Lonchura striata: one gene and its partner. The protein of the gene in region 1 interacts with the protein of each later gene in a pairwise test. Links are inferred from orthologs where the notes say so. Each region holds a gene or a part of one and is shown in the gene's direction. Other genes may lie near its edges.

Region 1 (7,957 bases):
TTTACTGCAGTAAACCCTCCTATGTGTTATGGTAAAACATGAAATACAAACAAATTCCTACAGCAATACATCTAGCAGCATGTCTAGGGACTGTAGCATTTCAGACTCATTGATTTTATTAATTAAAGTCTCTTGACAAAATGGGATGCAGAACCCAATGCATCGGGTGCCTAGATTTGGTATGCAGTGGTGATGTGGGAAAGTTAATTTCAGGATGGGATCTGCTCCTGCAAATGCATGAAACATCCAGATCATCATATTTTACCAAGGTGTAGCTCACAAGGGACATGCTAAGGATATAAAGCACCATTCCAAGGCCCTGCTCTGGCACTGGGACAGACAGCTCCAATGGCTCCCGAGCTGCAAGGCTGTCCCTCAGCAAAGGTGTAGGTAGTTAACTGCGACTGTTTTTTCAGAGAACTCAGAGGTTCACACATCCCTGACTGCCCCTCTTAAGATGCAGAATGACAGCCAGACTGGGGATTAGAGAGGGGATAGTTAGATGTGGGGTTTGAACTAGAGGGCCATTAAATGCCTTCCAACTTAAACAACTCTATGCTTCTCTGACAGCAAGGCCATTAAGCAGAAGATCTGAGATAAAGATATTGACTTCTTCCCTGCAGAACAGACCAGCTGCAGCAGAGGGCAGCCAAAGTAGGCTGCTGATCTGGGGACTCTTTCCAAAGAAGTCATGCCTGTAAGTCTTGAGCAAAGGAATCAAATTTGGGTGGTCCCCCGTACTGGGAGTGAAGGATGTCACACACCTTGTTTTAAAAGAGTGCAAGATTTAGCAGGGACCTTTTTTTGTGGAGATGGTTTGAAAGTGTCTACCACATCTAGTTGTTTCATTTTCATGGCAGAATACCTTTGTTTTAATTAATACAGGTTAAGTATTTGCTACCCTGATAGATCCAACAGCACTGTTTGTCAAAACTGCTGCTGGGACATTGAGGATACTTATTCACAGAAAAACAAAGCATTACTGTGTTAGAGGAGTTTATCTGAAATGTCTGCAGTGTACACAGAGCACAGACAGCTGTTAGCATATCATTAGCAAGAGGAATACCTAGGAAAAACATTTTGTAATGGACTGATATCAAGTAAAACTATCTAAAGCATTAAGTATTTTTAAAGTTTCCACTCAGAACAAAGGTCAGAGAGAAAGTAATTTCTTGAACTATTTTAGCATAGTCAAAAACTTTAGTGCCATTATTAAATTGTGAGATGTGTGGTGGTGGAATTGTTTTATTCTTTAAAAAAAAAAAACTTTAGAAAATAATCAAATAATTGTATTTATCAGATCAAATCCCAAACTGATTGCACTTAAACATTTTTCTGTTTCATGATCAGTTTGGGTTTTTCTGAGAAAAAGCACACTGAGAAACACATTGATGTCAAAATCATTCAAGCTCATGCTTATCAAATGCATGTTGAGTTCTTTGTGAAGATTTGATGCTTTATACAAACACTGATTATAATTATTGAGGACAAACAGAGTCCCCAGAAGGGTAAGAGCTGGAGAGCTGGTATAATGTAGACCAGCTGCTGTAAGTGTTCAGGATGCCAAGAGCATAACAGGGTTTCCTTCAGTCCCAGCTGGTCTGCATGAAGGGAAGGGCTGGCTTGGAGGCTGTGACTTAGAGGCCTTCCCTCCTCAGTAAGCACAGGAATTGGCTTTTCAGCCCTGCAGCCTCCCTGGAGACAGCCCCAGGTGGCAGTGGGATGGGACACTGGGGATCACAGAGATTAGCCACGTGAGTGGCAGCAGGCTGCAGACATCTGAGTATTTAGCTGACTAGTATTAGACTCAAGAAGTCATTTTCATTTCTTGCAGAAATGTTTCTATCTTTATCAGGAGCTGGGAACTTTTATGTTCTTAACCATGTCTATAAATACTGAAAACAGTGAGGATTTTCTCCTTTGAGACATCTCTATTTTTAAGAACACAGTTGGTAGTCACAGACATCTCATCCACACAAGTGCTGTGCCAGCAGTAGCACCAGTACAGGTGCTATTCCTGCAGCCCAGCTCGCCTGGAGTCACTGCCACAGGCAGGGCTGGCCTCCTCCCTGCCAGCACATCGAGGGGTCAGCAGCACCAATGTGCACTGCCCACAGGGCCCAGAGCCAGGCTTGGCTGAAGGGTTGAGCTGTGGATGGCACCTGCCACTGTTTCCTGCACTGGAGCATTCTCTAACCAGGCTCTTAAAGAATGGCTAAAAAGGCAAAATAGGGGATTTTCTTGTGTTTTAAAATGTCATTGACATGCAGAGATCCCTCTAATTTTTAGGGGCTGCTAAATATGCAGAATTTATGCTCATGTTGAGGTTATCAACACGCAGTGCTGGCAATGCCTACCTGCACCAGAACTGTATTTACCAACAGCACCTCCCTGCTGTACCAGTGATCCCATCTTTAACTCTCTCATGGGAAGGGCATAATTGGCTCTTTGCCTAAAATCACCACACAGTAACTATTAGCACAGCAGTTAACTAATAAATTAGTAACTGCCGAGATGCATTTTCATTTGGTGTAACACACACATGCAAACGTACATGGGTGGCGTGGGGTGTTACCAGGGACCACTGGGGACCCCTCAAACAGGCCTCGCCTTCCCTTTGTCTCCCAGGCCCCCAGGTGGGTGCCACTTCCCACTGCCACGCTTCCTGAAAAGCCTAAAATCACAGGATCACAGAATTGTTAGGGTTGGAAGGGACCTCTGGAGATCATTTAGTCCAGCCCCTGCCAAGGCAGGTTCACAAGAATTTGTCCAGGTGGGTTTTGAATGGAGATGAAGATTCCATGGCATCCCTGGGGAGCCTTTTCCAGTGCTCTGCCATGTCAATTTAAAGTTCTTCTCCATGTTCAGGTGGAACTTCTTGTATTTTAGTTCATTGCCACTGCTCTTGTCACTGGGCACCCCTTAAAAGTCTGGCACCAGCCAGGTGCTCCAGGCTGGAGGAAACTGAGAGGAGACCTCATTTCAGTCTTCAGCATCCTCATGGGGGAAGTGGAGGGGCAAGCAGCAATCTCTCCTCTCTGGTGACCAGTGACAGGAACCAAGGGAGTGGCTTGAAGATGAGTCAGGGGATGTTTAGCTTACGTATCAGGGAAAGGTTTCACCCAGAGAGAGGTTGGCTGGACACTGCAACAGGCTCCCCAGGACAGTGGTCACAGCACCAAGCCTAAGAGAGTTCAAGAAGCACTTGGACAACATTTTAAGGCACATGGTGTGACTCGGGATGTCTGTCCCGTGCGGGGCCAGGAGGTGGACTTCTTGATCCTGATGGGTGCCTTCAAACTCAGCAAATTCTATGATTCTGTGATCCTCTTGGCACCTGCCTTTGACATACTTATATGTATTAATGAGATCCGCTCTCGGTTTTCTCTTGACTGAACAGGCCCAGCTTCCACAAAGTCCTCTCATACGGGACATGCTCCTGACCGCACATCATCGTTGTGGCCTCCACTGGACCCCCTCCAATAGTTCCCTGTCGTTCTGGCACTAGGAGCCCAGAGCTGGCGGCAGTAAATGCAGGAGAGCACAAGCACACCAGGCCAGCGCTACTGACGCTGCCGGCGAGCAGGACAGGGACGGGGACAGGGACGGGGATGGGGACGGGGACTGGGATGGGGACAGGGACAGGGACGGGGACAGGGACGGGGATGGGGACAGGGACGGGGACGGGGACAGGGACGGGGATGGGGACGGGGACACCCCTCCGCCGTGCCCGCTGAGGGGCGGCGGGCGGCGCATGCGCGGCGGAAGGGGCCGGGGGCCGCCGCCTCCTCCCTCCGCCTCCCCGCGGGCCGGGCCGGGGCGCGCAGGCGCGGCGGGGCCGGGGCGGGCAGGGGCGGCGGGGCCGAGCGGCGGCGGCGGCCGGGGGGAGCGGCCGGGGAGGTTCAGCCGCGCTCTCGCTGTCCCTGTCCCTCCGCGCGATGTTGTTGTGAGCCCCGAGCGGGCGGGAGGGGAGGCAGGAAGGAGCGGCGCCCAGCGGGAGCGGCAGGAGGAGGAGGAAGGGGCCGGTGGGCGGGCAGGCGTGTCCCAGCGGCCGCTCCGGCTCCGTCGCCGCCAGCCAGCCCGTGAGTAGCCCCGGGGGGCCGGCGCCGCGCTGGGAAGGCCGCGGGCGGGCGGAGCGGGCGGGCGGGCCCCCTTCCTCCAGCCCCCTTTTGTCTGCGGGTTCGGCTGCGCGCCGAGGGAGGGGAGAGGGAGGGAAGGAGGAGGAGGAGGAGGAGGAGGAGGAGGAGGAGGAGGAGGAGGAGGAGGAGGGAGGGGGCCATGTTGTGGCAGGTCACCGGGCGGCGCGCGGCCTGCGCGGCGGCCTCGCCGCCTTTGTGTCCGCCCGGGAGCGGCGCCGAGGTGGGGACGCAGCGAGCGCCGTGAGGGGCGGCGGCGCCGGGGGAGCGAGGAGGGAGGGAGGGAGGGAGGGGCGGCATTGTGCGGTCGGGGAGCCGAGCCCGGCCCGGCGGGGCGTGCGGGGCCGCGCTGCTGCCCGGGGCAGCGCCGGGGCCCGGGGCAGGCGGGGGCGGACGCAGCCCCGGGGCTGCAATGGACTCGGGCTCGGGGGGAGCGGAGACAGGGGCGGCGCTCGGACCCCACGGGCCACTGCGTGGCTGGGATCACACGGGCTTTGTTCGAACGTGCGAAAAACTTGTGTTGTTTTTTTAGTGCTCTTAAAGATAATAACCGCTTCCTGAGAGTGCAGCGAGAAGGCCAAATGCCTTTGGTAAGCTGGTGGCACACAATGAAGCGGTAGGGTTTGATTCCACTTCAAATCTGCCTGTGCAGACCACAAAAACAAAAAGTTGAGGGAAATGCCTCCTGTCCTGAGTGGATCGTGCCTACAGAGAACAGTTTGGGGTTAATCTCCGTGGCAGTTATTGTGCAAAGATTTTCGGGTTTTGTTTCGGCATTGTTTTCTCGTGTATTTCCTAAGGTCAGATCCTTATTTCTTTGAGAGAAAATATTTTTGGGACGGTTTATATTCTTCTGGCTTACAGTTTGTAGCAAGATGGCTTAATACCAAAATGTGCAGCATGTTTGAGATGTGATAAAGAGCCTCTTATCACCTGATTTCGGGATGCTTTTTTTCTGAGCAATTAGATGTGTATGAGCAATGTGAATCAGTAAAACTCTTAATTCGCCTAATATTCCCTACATATGCTACAGTTAACAAAATACTTTGAGGTTTATTTTACTTTCTCTTTGTTGCATCTCCACTGAGAGATCAGGCCTTCATAGTTTCAGTAAGCTAATGGTGTAGCTCTTCAGGTATGTGGGATATGAATGCATTCAAAATATAAACTATGCCATGTTACCATTTTTACACATAAAGCGTAGTTTTGTGTTATATTTAGTCACGTCTAGGTTTAAAACCAGATGTTAACAACAGTCGCAGTTTTATTGAGAAGCTGAGGGAAATGCTGCCTGCTTTGCTCAACAACTGTGTCAACGCGAGTATAAATATGCTAGGGAAGTGGGAGAAGGAAACTCGCATTAAAAGGGAAATGCTAATTTAGTGGTGGTGTCGTTTGGGTTATATGGGTGGAAATGACACCAGATCACCTGACAGTTTCTGAAGTGTTCAGAGTTGAAAATTTGGAATTTGGCCCAGCAGAATGGTTAGTAGGCAAATGCATGTGAGAAACTGCTTGATAATGCACATTCTGCAGTATATTATGTGGATGTTGTACAAAGGAAAGTCCATGTTATTTGAATACTCTGTTTTCTGCATTAATAACAATGGTTTGATTTTTTTCCCCTCGTAGTATCACTGTAGTAATAAATCTTCTATTTGAGGCATGTTGGCACAGCGCTGAGGCAATTGTAATTGTATCTGGTATCGTGATTGAGCTAATAGTGCAAGCAGTTGGCTGAAAGAGCTGGGCTTGCATGTCTTTTTATAAGAAGATGCCTCTTGTTATGACAGTGTATATTAAATCTTACAGTGGATTGTGGAGTACACTGAAGGCTTTATGTAGTTGTTTTCCTTGGGTGTTTCTCTGCAATGTTCTCGGTGGGCCAGATGTTGCAGGTGTGTTACAGAACGTCAGCTTGCTGAAACTGTGAACTAGATTTGATTTTTAAGCAGCACTTTCTAGTTCACTTTTAGATATTGCCCCCTCTCCTTCATTTAGTGATACTTGAGTGTGTATTGAATAGTCAGCATGTGTAGAAGCATTCTCCTTGATAATTTAATCTTTCTTTTTACAGTGGTTTCCAAAATTCCAGAATTGTTAATCTAAGTTTTTTACACAGAGGCAAGTAAGCCAATAGAAGTTTTGAATTCCTACTTGTATGTCTTCCTGCTTATTTTTCTGAATGTGGAATTATATGAAAATTAACTGTCTATTGCACTAAAAGGAAACCTAAATTCTCTTGGATGTTAAATTCTATGTTGAGAATCTCCTGTAAAATGAGCATTAATACATTGGATTTTCTTTTTACAAAGTTTGTTAGAAACTCTACAGAGGAAACGCATAAGACAGTAGACATAATGTATAAATGCTTCTCATTGTGTGTATCAAAAATGTAGATGTGTATGAGAGTTATCAATCTTCTTTATCTTCAAGTAATTTAAGTGAAAATGTTTGCCCCATTTAATTGCAATTTCCCCACCCATAACATAACTCTTGTCTTGCTTATTCCATGTAAGCCAATGCCTAGGCCTTTGTCTTGGCAATGAGGAAAGAAATCTTTCCTTTAAAACCTCCTGTAACAAATATTACCAATTGTGTAGTGTTGCTAGTAATGAAGTTGGAGGCACTTCACAGTCATGTAGTGGAAAACCATTTTAAATTACATCAAAACACGTAAAGGATTCAGTTCTAGCTGCTTCGGTGTCATTTCAAACAAGTTATATAAAATTCATACAATGGTTGCATGCTGAAACTTTACAGCAAGATTTAGTTTGGATCTCACTCAGAGTACCTGCTGTGGCTTTTAGAATAGTAGGCAAGAGCTGGTATGTGAAATGTTTAGCTTACAAATAAAGGCTACTTATCTCTAAAGATTATATTTCATTATTGCTTAGCAGATAGTTTTTCTAAACATGGTTATTTAAGAGTAGTTGTAGGTACGTAGAAGAAATGCATCAGAAGAGGTTATGACAACCATCTTAGGAGTTCAGAAGGAAATGCCTAACTCCATAGCAAAACCACCTCAGTAATAAGCCACATTTGACTTTTTTGCCAGTTCTCTGTATATGCATTTATTTACACTAAACTTGAGTGCTGATATGATCTACTGTCCTCTGCAGGCTATGCTAAAAGCACATCTGCAGCCTTTCTAGGCAGGCTTATTTTCTGACACCACATATTTGTGTACCTTGGACTACGTAATCTGGTCTACGTTTTGTAGTTGTGATTATTTTAAATTTAATTTTCCATACAACTCCAGGGTAGATTACCTCTTGCTTTATTGAGGTGTTGGCAGAAGTATCAGAGGTAATAGGTCTGGTTGTCCATCTTTCCATATAATGCTTTCAGTATGTAATTCCTAGTGGAAGTAAGTGGAGTCATGTCAGATCTATGTGTTCATAACTTTGCTGTTAGATTTCATCCATGTTTTTTTAGGAAGAATTTTGGATGATGGATTGAACTAGTCATATAGACATTTTGCATGGTTGATACAAAGTTTAATGTAGAATTAGATGATAAATCTCTTCACAAAGGAAGTGAGTTTTTAAAAGCTGCATTAAGTTCTGTAACTCTTCACGTGTGTATTGATTAAATACAAAGCTAGACTTACTGGAAATGAGTTTGTGTAGTTTATCTAAAAATAAGGAGTCTACCTTGACTCATATATTTTAAGTATCTTCTATTTGTCTCCTCTGTGATATATATTGCTTAAATTTTAGTTCTGGCATGGTACAGTGATGAGTTAATCAGGTAGTCTGAAGAAGTTGCAGAACTCATGTTACTACAGTATTTTGACAATAAGCAAATATCTACTGTAA
Region 2 (8,166 bases), on another chromosome or scaffold:
AATCTAATTGTAAAGCAGACAGATATTCAAACTCCCCGTGCAGTGAAAAAACTCTTTCTAGAAACCAGAGATGCATACAATTTGTTGTAATTCAGAGCAGTACTGGAAGCAGAGGATAGCAAGAAGAAATTGTTCACAAATATATTTTACTTTTATTCTGTCTTACTTAGTGTTGATGAAATGGAATGTTGTAAATGAAATTACTCTAATTATAAGGAAAAAAGCTTAAGCAACCAAGTACATTTTCCATGCAATGCCTTTTTGCCCTGTGGGCCTCAGTGTTAAATACTCTTACGCATATATTAAGCGCAAGTTGAAAAAGAGACCAGAGAACTTTACAGAAAAATCACTGAGTATCATTAAATACAGTCTCGAAAGGGGCTCGGGACATGCTTTGGAGGCTGGCAAGCACAGGGAGAAACTAAAAGTAAGAAAAATCACTCTACACCTGCCCTGTCTTCACATCTTTTCTCTAGGCACTCCTGGCTGCTCTGAACGAAGATACCAAACTGGTGGTACTTTTGATCTGAATCACGCACAGCTGTCTTTACCTGTTCCTATGTACTTGTTTAAGTCATTCTTGTAGAATGTTTGGATGAAGAATATTACATACCCGTGCAATACACTGAAATGTTTCAGTCATGCTGTAGTACAAGCTGAAGTGTGGACCAGCTTTCCGATAGTGGTTAAAGTTATTAAGGTTAAATTTAGATTTTGTCTGAATTTAAATGCCTAAAGGCTAATCACAATTATTGATAGTGCTAAACATATCCTTGACAACCTTATACAATGATTTCAACAATGTCCTGACTTAGGTTACAGATAACTCAAGTTATCTATGGTTTAACTCTTAAGTTTTCACTTAGTTATTGACTGTATGAGTTAAATTTATTATCAGACTAATTTAAGTGTTCTAAAATAATGTCATTTCTAGAAAAAATAAGCTTCCAAATTTCACTAATGAAAATTAAATAAATGAATTAATGTTGAAAATAATATTCCAGTTTTCATCCAAATCAAGGGGGAAAAATATTGAAACATTATTCATGCAGAAATTCACCGTGGTTTTTTTTTAATAGAAGTTACTTGTGTTGCATTACTTCTTAGAGTTGGGGGGGAAATATAAGGAAAATCATTCAGCAAATGATTCATTACATTTTGAAGGATTTTACTGCGCTAGTGAAAATATAGATTGTGGTTTGATTATGGATACTCTAGTGGTTTCAGTGCACATTATAACAGTGTCGATTTTTTTAAAAAGGCAGGTGTTCATCAGAACATTATGATATATCCTCTTAAATAGCTACCCTGATGCAAAGACCAGCAAAGGAAATATCCAAAGTTTAACCAGATATAGAATGACCCCTTCAGGGCTTTAAAGCCTGCTGTGAAATGTATGTGACACCCTCTTCAATATGAAGTAGGAAACAAAGAAAACAGATATCCAAATCCTCTTTGGTTACTCAGCATCTTTTTCTTAGGCAAACTTGCTAAAAATTGGGACTTTCTTCTCTTGTTCTTAATCTAATAGCTTGAATATATCTTTCATATTCTCCTCTTCATATTTATGAATCTCCTAGGAGTAGTTAGCTGCTTTAACTTCACAGAAAGAGTCAACATTATTCACAAGAAAAGATCCCAAAATTGCAGATGAGTTAGGAGAAATGTTACAAAAATTCAAATGCTACATGTTACTCTTGCAATCTACTTTTAAGTCTACTTCTAGGAAAACTAAATCTAACCTGACTTTTAAAGCACGTAGTCCTGTACTTAGGAGTATTAAATTTCAAGATGCAACCTCTACTATCTGTAATCAGACTGGTAATTTTTCATCACATTTTCTGCAGAATTCTCACCCACTGCAGCCTATCAGATCCCAAGCCAGTCTCTCACTGAATTACTCTGATTTACTAAATTAATTTATTTACCAATGTCCTAATTAAAGAGGAAAAACGAAACAAAAAAAATTGTATATTAAAGTGGTAAGTACTACATGGTGTAGCAGAATATAAAATTTATTTCTTCATCTGCTACTTAGTGCATTTAACAAATAAATCTATTAAGCATTAACCATTGTAATAGCAGTATTTCTAAAACAAGCTAAGACAATAATTTCCTACTCCACTTCCTCCACTCCTTTTGAAATTTATGTATGGGCAGCAGAAAAGAAATTACTTTCTTCTTTGTTTTAAGCAACAGATCTTCTCCAATTTTAGAAGCTAATGCCTAGTTAAGGAAAACAGGACACAAGCCTGACCCAAATCCAGTACAAAAAGCTCAGAACAGCCTCACTTGTTGCCACCCTTAAGGTCAAATATGAATCCATTACACCCAAGTAGATACTATGTATTATTTTCCCTCATTGTTGGGGCCCATTTTCAAAGTCTCAGCCATTTCAAATAAGATCTGATAAAGTATTGTACAGCATGCCTTCCATTTAATTAAGCGGGCATTAGCTGCATGAAAGCCCAGGCATATGCTTACCTTTAGATAATATTGCAACCCCACCAGATTCAACAAAATCTCTTCTATAGGTAACAAAAACACTTCTATGTGATCAGGCCTTTGTTATTGCTATTGCCTAAACCAGCTCTGGGTCACATGTAAATCCAGTGCAGCAGTCTACTTTGGATTATTAAGATAACATTTGGAAAAGGTGAACACTTGGTGTTATGATTGAGCACAAGAGGCCATCTGATCCGATTAACAGAATTTATTTAATTCATTTAAGAGAGTATAAAAAGTTGAATCTTTAGAACACATAAAATTTGATTGGAAAAACCATCTTACATGTTAAATACACTCCATCAGTTTTGCCTTCCACTTCAATTTTTCATCTTTTACAAAGATCACTTGTATCTCTTTGCTATAAAAATAACCAAAACATACAAAACACTAAAACATAAACAAACCCAAAACAAAATCTCCAAGCCCGAACAAACAAAGAAAACCCAAAGAACCAAACCATAAATTAAACATCTTATTGACCTAGCCCAGTCAGAGGTTGGGTTAATTTTGGTGAGATGTTCCCCTCCCCCTTGAACCTTCTAAAATCAGTATCTCTTCTAAACATTTGATACCAGTGGCAAACAGCTATTTAAAACTAATTTCCAAATTTCATCTTATTCCTGTAGAACCAGGAGAGCTTCCAGAGAGATTTCCTTATAGAAAGAACTTGGCCCACTGGTGATTGGGCAGAAAGCTGGAATTCAGCACAGGGTAATGGAGACCGATTACTCTAGCACAGCTACATAGTATTGGTTTGTGACAACATTAATTGAGAGCTACTTTGAGCATTTGCCTCAAAACGTGTGAAAGCCTCTTCAACAACACACCATTCTCAAAACTTCCACAAGCAAAGTACAAGCTCTTGTCAAAAAGGCAAGAGCTGCTGCTGCTATGACATACACTCAACAACTTCCTGTGCAAAAATGCCACAAATGATAGTCGCAACCTAATCCGCCTCCTCAAAAAAAAAAAAAACCAAAAAACCCCCCAAAAAAACAACCAGAAAAGCTACAGTATTCTCGATCCTTTGTCTTCTAAAACTCAGACACCGAGGGACAAGGAGCCGGGCGCCAAGGGGGTGGGGGGGCACCACGCGTGCGAGGGAGGAGGGAGGGTGTGGCCTCTCCTGTCCCATCCCCCAGTGGGGCTATTTAAAGAGAACGGGATTACCTCGGACCCGCTTTATCGACGTCGGGAGCCCGGCTTCGCCGTCGAGAAGAAGTGACCGCCTGAGCTTAGTTTTTCTCAAAGAAGTTCATACGGGTTTTGTTTGAAAACCTTATTAAGTGTTAGCTATGGTGAGTAAACGCCGGAGGTGAGCCATGCTGGGGCAGTGGGGCAGGGGCGTTTAAATGCCGAGCCGCCGGGCGGGCTTCTGCTGGGTTATGTGCTTTGAGGCGGGGCCCCCGGCGGGCAGCGGAGCGGAGAGTGGAGTACTAACTTTGTCGGGTTGTTCTTGGGGTGAGGGATGGGAATACTCTCAGCTGGAGCAGGGTCCCCTTGTAACGCGGCGACGGGGCTGAACCCCTGAGGGCTAGTAGCGCTATAACTGTCTTGAGGGTTTTACCACCTTGCGAGACGAGCGGTTACGGTGAAGGAGGGAATACCGCAATTGCCAGGCCAGGGGCTTGTGCAGGGGAACCTCTGGCTCGTAGCTATCGGTGTTACGGTCTGCAGGAGGCTTGGCGTCGGAACACGCTTCACACCCTCGAGCGGCCATTTTGTGGCGGTGCTAAAATAGCGCTGTCCCGCACGGCTGGGCGGGCATCCCTCCGCCTGCCCGTGGCGGGCGGTGTACCCGGTGTGCGTAGGCTCCGGCAGTACCCCTTGTCTGGGGCTTGCGAACAGCTTTCATTGTTCTCAGCGCCAAAGCTCCCCGCCCGCGCCCCGTCGGCGCCGGGCAGCCCGGGTGTGAGGCTGTAAAATGGCGGCGGCACGCGAGCGGCGCCTCGCCGGCCCGAGGTCCAACGCCCCCCCCCCGAGGGCGGGCGTCGCCCGGAGTGCTGCGGGCTCCTCGGCTCGCCCCAGCGTGCTGCTTTGCCGTTTGTTCTTTTTGTTTGAGAAACATGATTTGCCACTGTAGCGCTGGCGCTTCACGCTATACGAGTAAGGCGGTGGAGCTTTTTTTTTTTATTGAGTTTTTTGTTTTATGCCGGAGAAGCTGTGCCTAGCGCGCGGTGCTGGCCCGAGAGCTCCGCTTAGTGCCCAGCGGGGAGGCTGCGGCCGCAGCCATGTGCTTCCCGCGGGCTCCGGCGCTGGCATGGCGACTGCGCGCACTGTCCGCCCAGCGGGACGTGGGTCACGGGGTTAAATGCTTCAATTTAAAAATAAAACCAAAAAAACTCAAAAAACCTAATGCTTACTTTAAACAGAGAATGTGCTGAGGCCAGGGGAGAAGCCTGAGAAATCATGAGCTTTTGTGGCCAAAAAAAAAAAGTGAACGTTTTTCTTTCCTGGATGAGCATAAAACTGAGTGAAGTTTGTAACACGCGTGGGTAGATGTTGGAACTCAAAATGTCCCTCAGACATTTTTAGAGGTTCCAGGCCTTGGTCAGAAGCATTTGAGACCCTGGCCGGCAGCTGCAAACAGCTGTGATTTTGAGTTTGAGCCATGGAATGAGTTACCAACTTTGAAGGTAGAGCAAGCAGTCACAAAGGGATAGATAGCATAGTAAAAGTAGCTACAAAACAGAGGGGAATTTTTTTTAGTATTGTACGGGGGACGGGGGGTTTTTACTTTGTACATGGGGGTCAGAAGTTCTAAGATGGAGGAAAGTGGGCTGATCCTGTTCTTCCTCCTTCTTCCTTGCCTCCATGTTCTCGGTGATGCTGGCACTCACAGATTGGTTTAGAGTAAAAAAGTACTTTGTTATATAGGTAGTAGGTATTGGGGGGTAAACTATAAACATGTAATACGTAATATATCATAAAAGATAGCAGCAGCCCTGGGCCGGGGGGAGAAGAAGACAGCAGACAGTGAGGGTGTCAGGGTGTGTGTCTCTGCTTGGGCCGCTGACCAAACAGCCGCACCCCGCGAAGACAATCTTTTAGATAACTAACAATAAACTGCCTTGAAACCAAACAACAAGAGGCTGCAGAGTTTTTCTTTGGAAGCACGGGTTGAAGGAGAGACTTTACCACCACACGAGACCCCAGACCAAGCCCAGGGTTTTCTCACAGGTAGGCAGGTATTTCCTCCACCTAGTCCTTTTCTACCTTTTCTTTTGCCAAAACTCTTAACTAGTCTTCTGACTGCTGTAAGGAGGACCTTTATACCGGTTTCCCCTCATCAGTTTAAACTTCATATTTGCAGGAATAATAGGGAGCAAACAGATTAATTTTCTTTTTTGACGAGAGAAGAAAAAAACCTGTTAATTCAGATAGTGCTATGTTGGTAAAATTATTTGGCTTTAGATAAGACAGTAATTTTTTTGAATTGGCAAACATTTTCCATGATAGTACTGAGGACTTGAAAAGTGGCTTTGGAGGGAAATTTTCTTTTTTGTTCTAGGAGAATTTTACCACTGTGCATTTTTATTTCCTTTTCAAGTTCTAGGAAATATGTATATTAATCTTACTTTTGATGTTTCCCAGCTTGCCAGAATGCCTAAGTAGTCTGTTTATTCTTTCTTGCAGGTACATAATGTGTGAGAGTGTTAAATCAGTTAATTTTCTTTGAAAATTCTGCGTCATTAGTGTGAGGCAGGAACACTGCACTTCCATGGTGGCCAAGGCCATGTGTGACAGGTGTACCAGCAGCATCTGTGGCTATCACCAGTGTCCATGGCTACCAGCTTCCTTCAGCTGGTGCTGGCTGGGCACCTCTTATGAGAGCCGTTTCCTGTTTTAGGGCTGCCAAGAACTTGCACGACAAAGTGAATACCACTTCTAGCTTGGTTCACTGACACATCCAGAAAGAAAAAAGTAGAAGCAAGAGTTAGGTCAGCTTGAGGAGTTATCATCTCAGATTTCAGTTCTAATGTCCTTTAGCTGAGTATGCAGCCAAACAAAAGCAGCATACCAGGTGGGTGAAAAACTGCTCACTTCATGTTAATCTTCCTGCCAGATTTTGTAGAGCCAGTTTAATTTGAACTGAGAAGTGTTAGAACCAATGAATGGTCCATTTGTGCTATTGAAATTCCTCATCCCCTGCTATATCTGCAAGAAGGTGCAGGCATTCTGGTGTCTTAAAATGTAATCTAGTTGACTAAAATAAGTATTTTTGTTTAAATTTTTTAGGCAGCGCATGTGGAAACCCAGCACTCAGACGCCATGGAGGGCAGTGCCTATTCAGCAGCAGTCAGTCAGGGCTATGTTTTACCAGAAGGAAAAATCATGCCAAACACAGTCTTTGTTGCTGGAATTGACTTAAGGGTATGTATACACTTTTAGTAGTTCAAAATTAATAAAGGGTGTACATCAGTGGAAATTTTGGTCCTGTTTGAGTGTGGATTTTTTTATTACTTTGTGGTGGTGGGGTTCTTTTTATTTTTTCTTTGTGTGTATATTTGCCAATCTTGAAGGTATTGAAGTGTTATAGGAGATTTCTGGAACATGTTTAGTTCTTATGGTAGTGGAAAATAATTTTAAGAAATGGTACTCTCTGCTTTAAATCAGTTCTAAGCACTTGAATGTTTTTGGAGATGTTTAAGACCTTGTTTTCTTGTAGGTGAATGAAGGAGAAATTCGGAGTGTCTTTGAACAATATGGTACTGTGAAGGAGGTGAAGGTCATCACTGACAGATCTGGTATTTCAAAAGGGTGGGTAGAATATGAGTAGTTGTTTTAAGTTGCTGCTTATGTGGACAGCATTCTGTAATAGGCGATATGAGCAGATACTTAGCAACACACTTGACATGTATAAGCCTTAATAGTAGATGCAGTTTTCTGTTGTGGTGAGTTAAGACTGTGAAACTAGTAAATCTATACTGCCTCCAACTAAATCTGTATAATCTTACAAAGAATAGCATTAATTTTCTGACTTTGGCCTCTCTGTTCAAGGAAAAGAAGCTCACTGTCACTCAGCCGTTGGAAGCAAAGCCTAACTCATGTGATGCTTATACAGTCAATGCTTTTATAAGACTGTTCTGTTGGCTGGAGTAGTTAAAAATCTGGGGACAGTTCAGGATGATTAAGAGAATTAAGATGGCTTATTTAGGGCAGTGGCTGTGCTCTCTCTTGACACTTGTGAATAAGTTCTAGAGTAAAACAGGCCGAGTTTCTTTGCGTGAAGAGTGAAACCAAGTATGTGAACAAAGTTGAAACAAAGGAAATTCCCTTATATATATGTAGAAGAGTTCTGGATTACTGTGGGGAAACCCTTAAATAAGATGAAGGACCTTACCCTGTTGAGTTCTGAGGAAGCCATCCCAGTTTTGAGCTTTTCCCTCCTGAGGAGAAGGAGATGGATCCTCTTGAAGTTCCTTCCAGCCCAGTTTTTCTTAGATTCTATGCTTAGATCGTAGAATGTCACATCTTTTTCTTCAGCATATGTAGCAATGGAAGAGCTGGAAATAAAATTCATTTTCTTATATCTTTAGCTAGTTTACAAAGTGAACCCTGATGTGCAGTTAGCCAGAGTATGTTACAAGTGTTAATAATAATTTGACTTACTCCATTAATGGGACACAATTGTTACTATAATGCTCTGAAATGTTC

Evidence for each region. The genes of interacting proteins can lie anywhere in the genome.
Region 2: the proteins of PUM2 (region 1) and DAZL interact in a two-hybrid assay, tested with the Homo sapiens proteins (2 studies listed by BioGRID and IntAct). The link is inferred for Lonchura striata from reciprocal best matches to the Homo sapiens genes PUM2 and DAZL.

Annotation. Positions count from the first base shown.
Region 1 is NC_134605.1:104,349,819-104,357,775, reverse strand, and holds the start of PUM2 (pumilio homolog 2), read left to right. Parts: upstream 1-4,267; 5' UTR 4,268-4,278; coding exon 4,279-4,359; intron 4,360-7,957. UniProt on the Homo sapiens protein: Sequence-specific RNA-binding protein that acts as a post-transcriptional repressor by binding the 3'-UTR of mRNA targets.
Region 2 is NC_134603.1:121,532,012-121,540,177, forward strand, and holds the start of DAZL (deleted in azoospermia-like), read left to right. Parts: upstream 1-4,432; coding exon 4,433-4,550; intron 4,551-4,591; coding exon 4,592-4,614; intron 4,615-6,747; coding exon 6,748-6,882; intron 6,883-7,177; coding exon 7,178-7,269; intron 7,270-8,166. UniProt on the Homo sapiens protein: RNA-binding protein, which is essential for gametogenesis in both males and females. Plays a central role during spermatogenesis.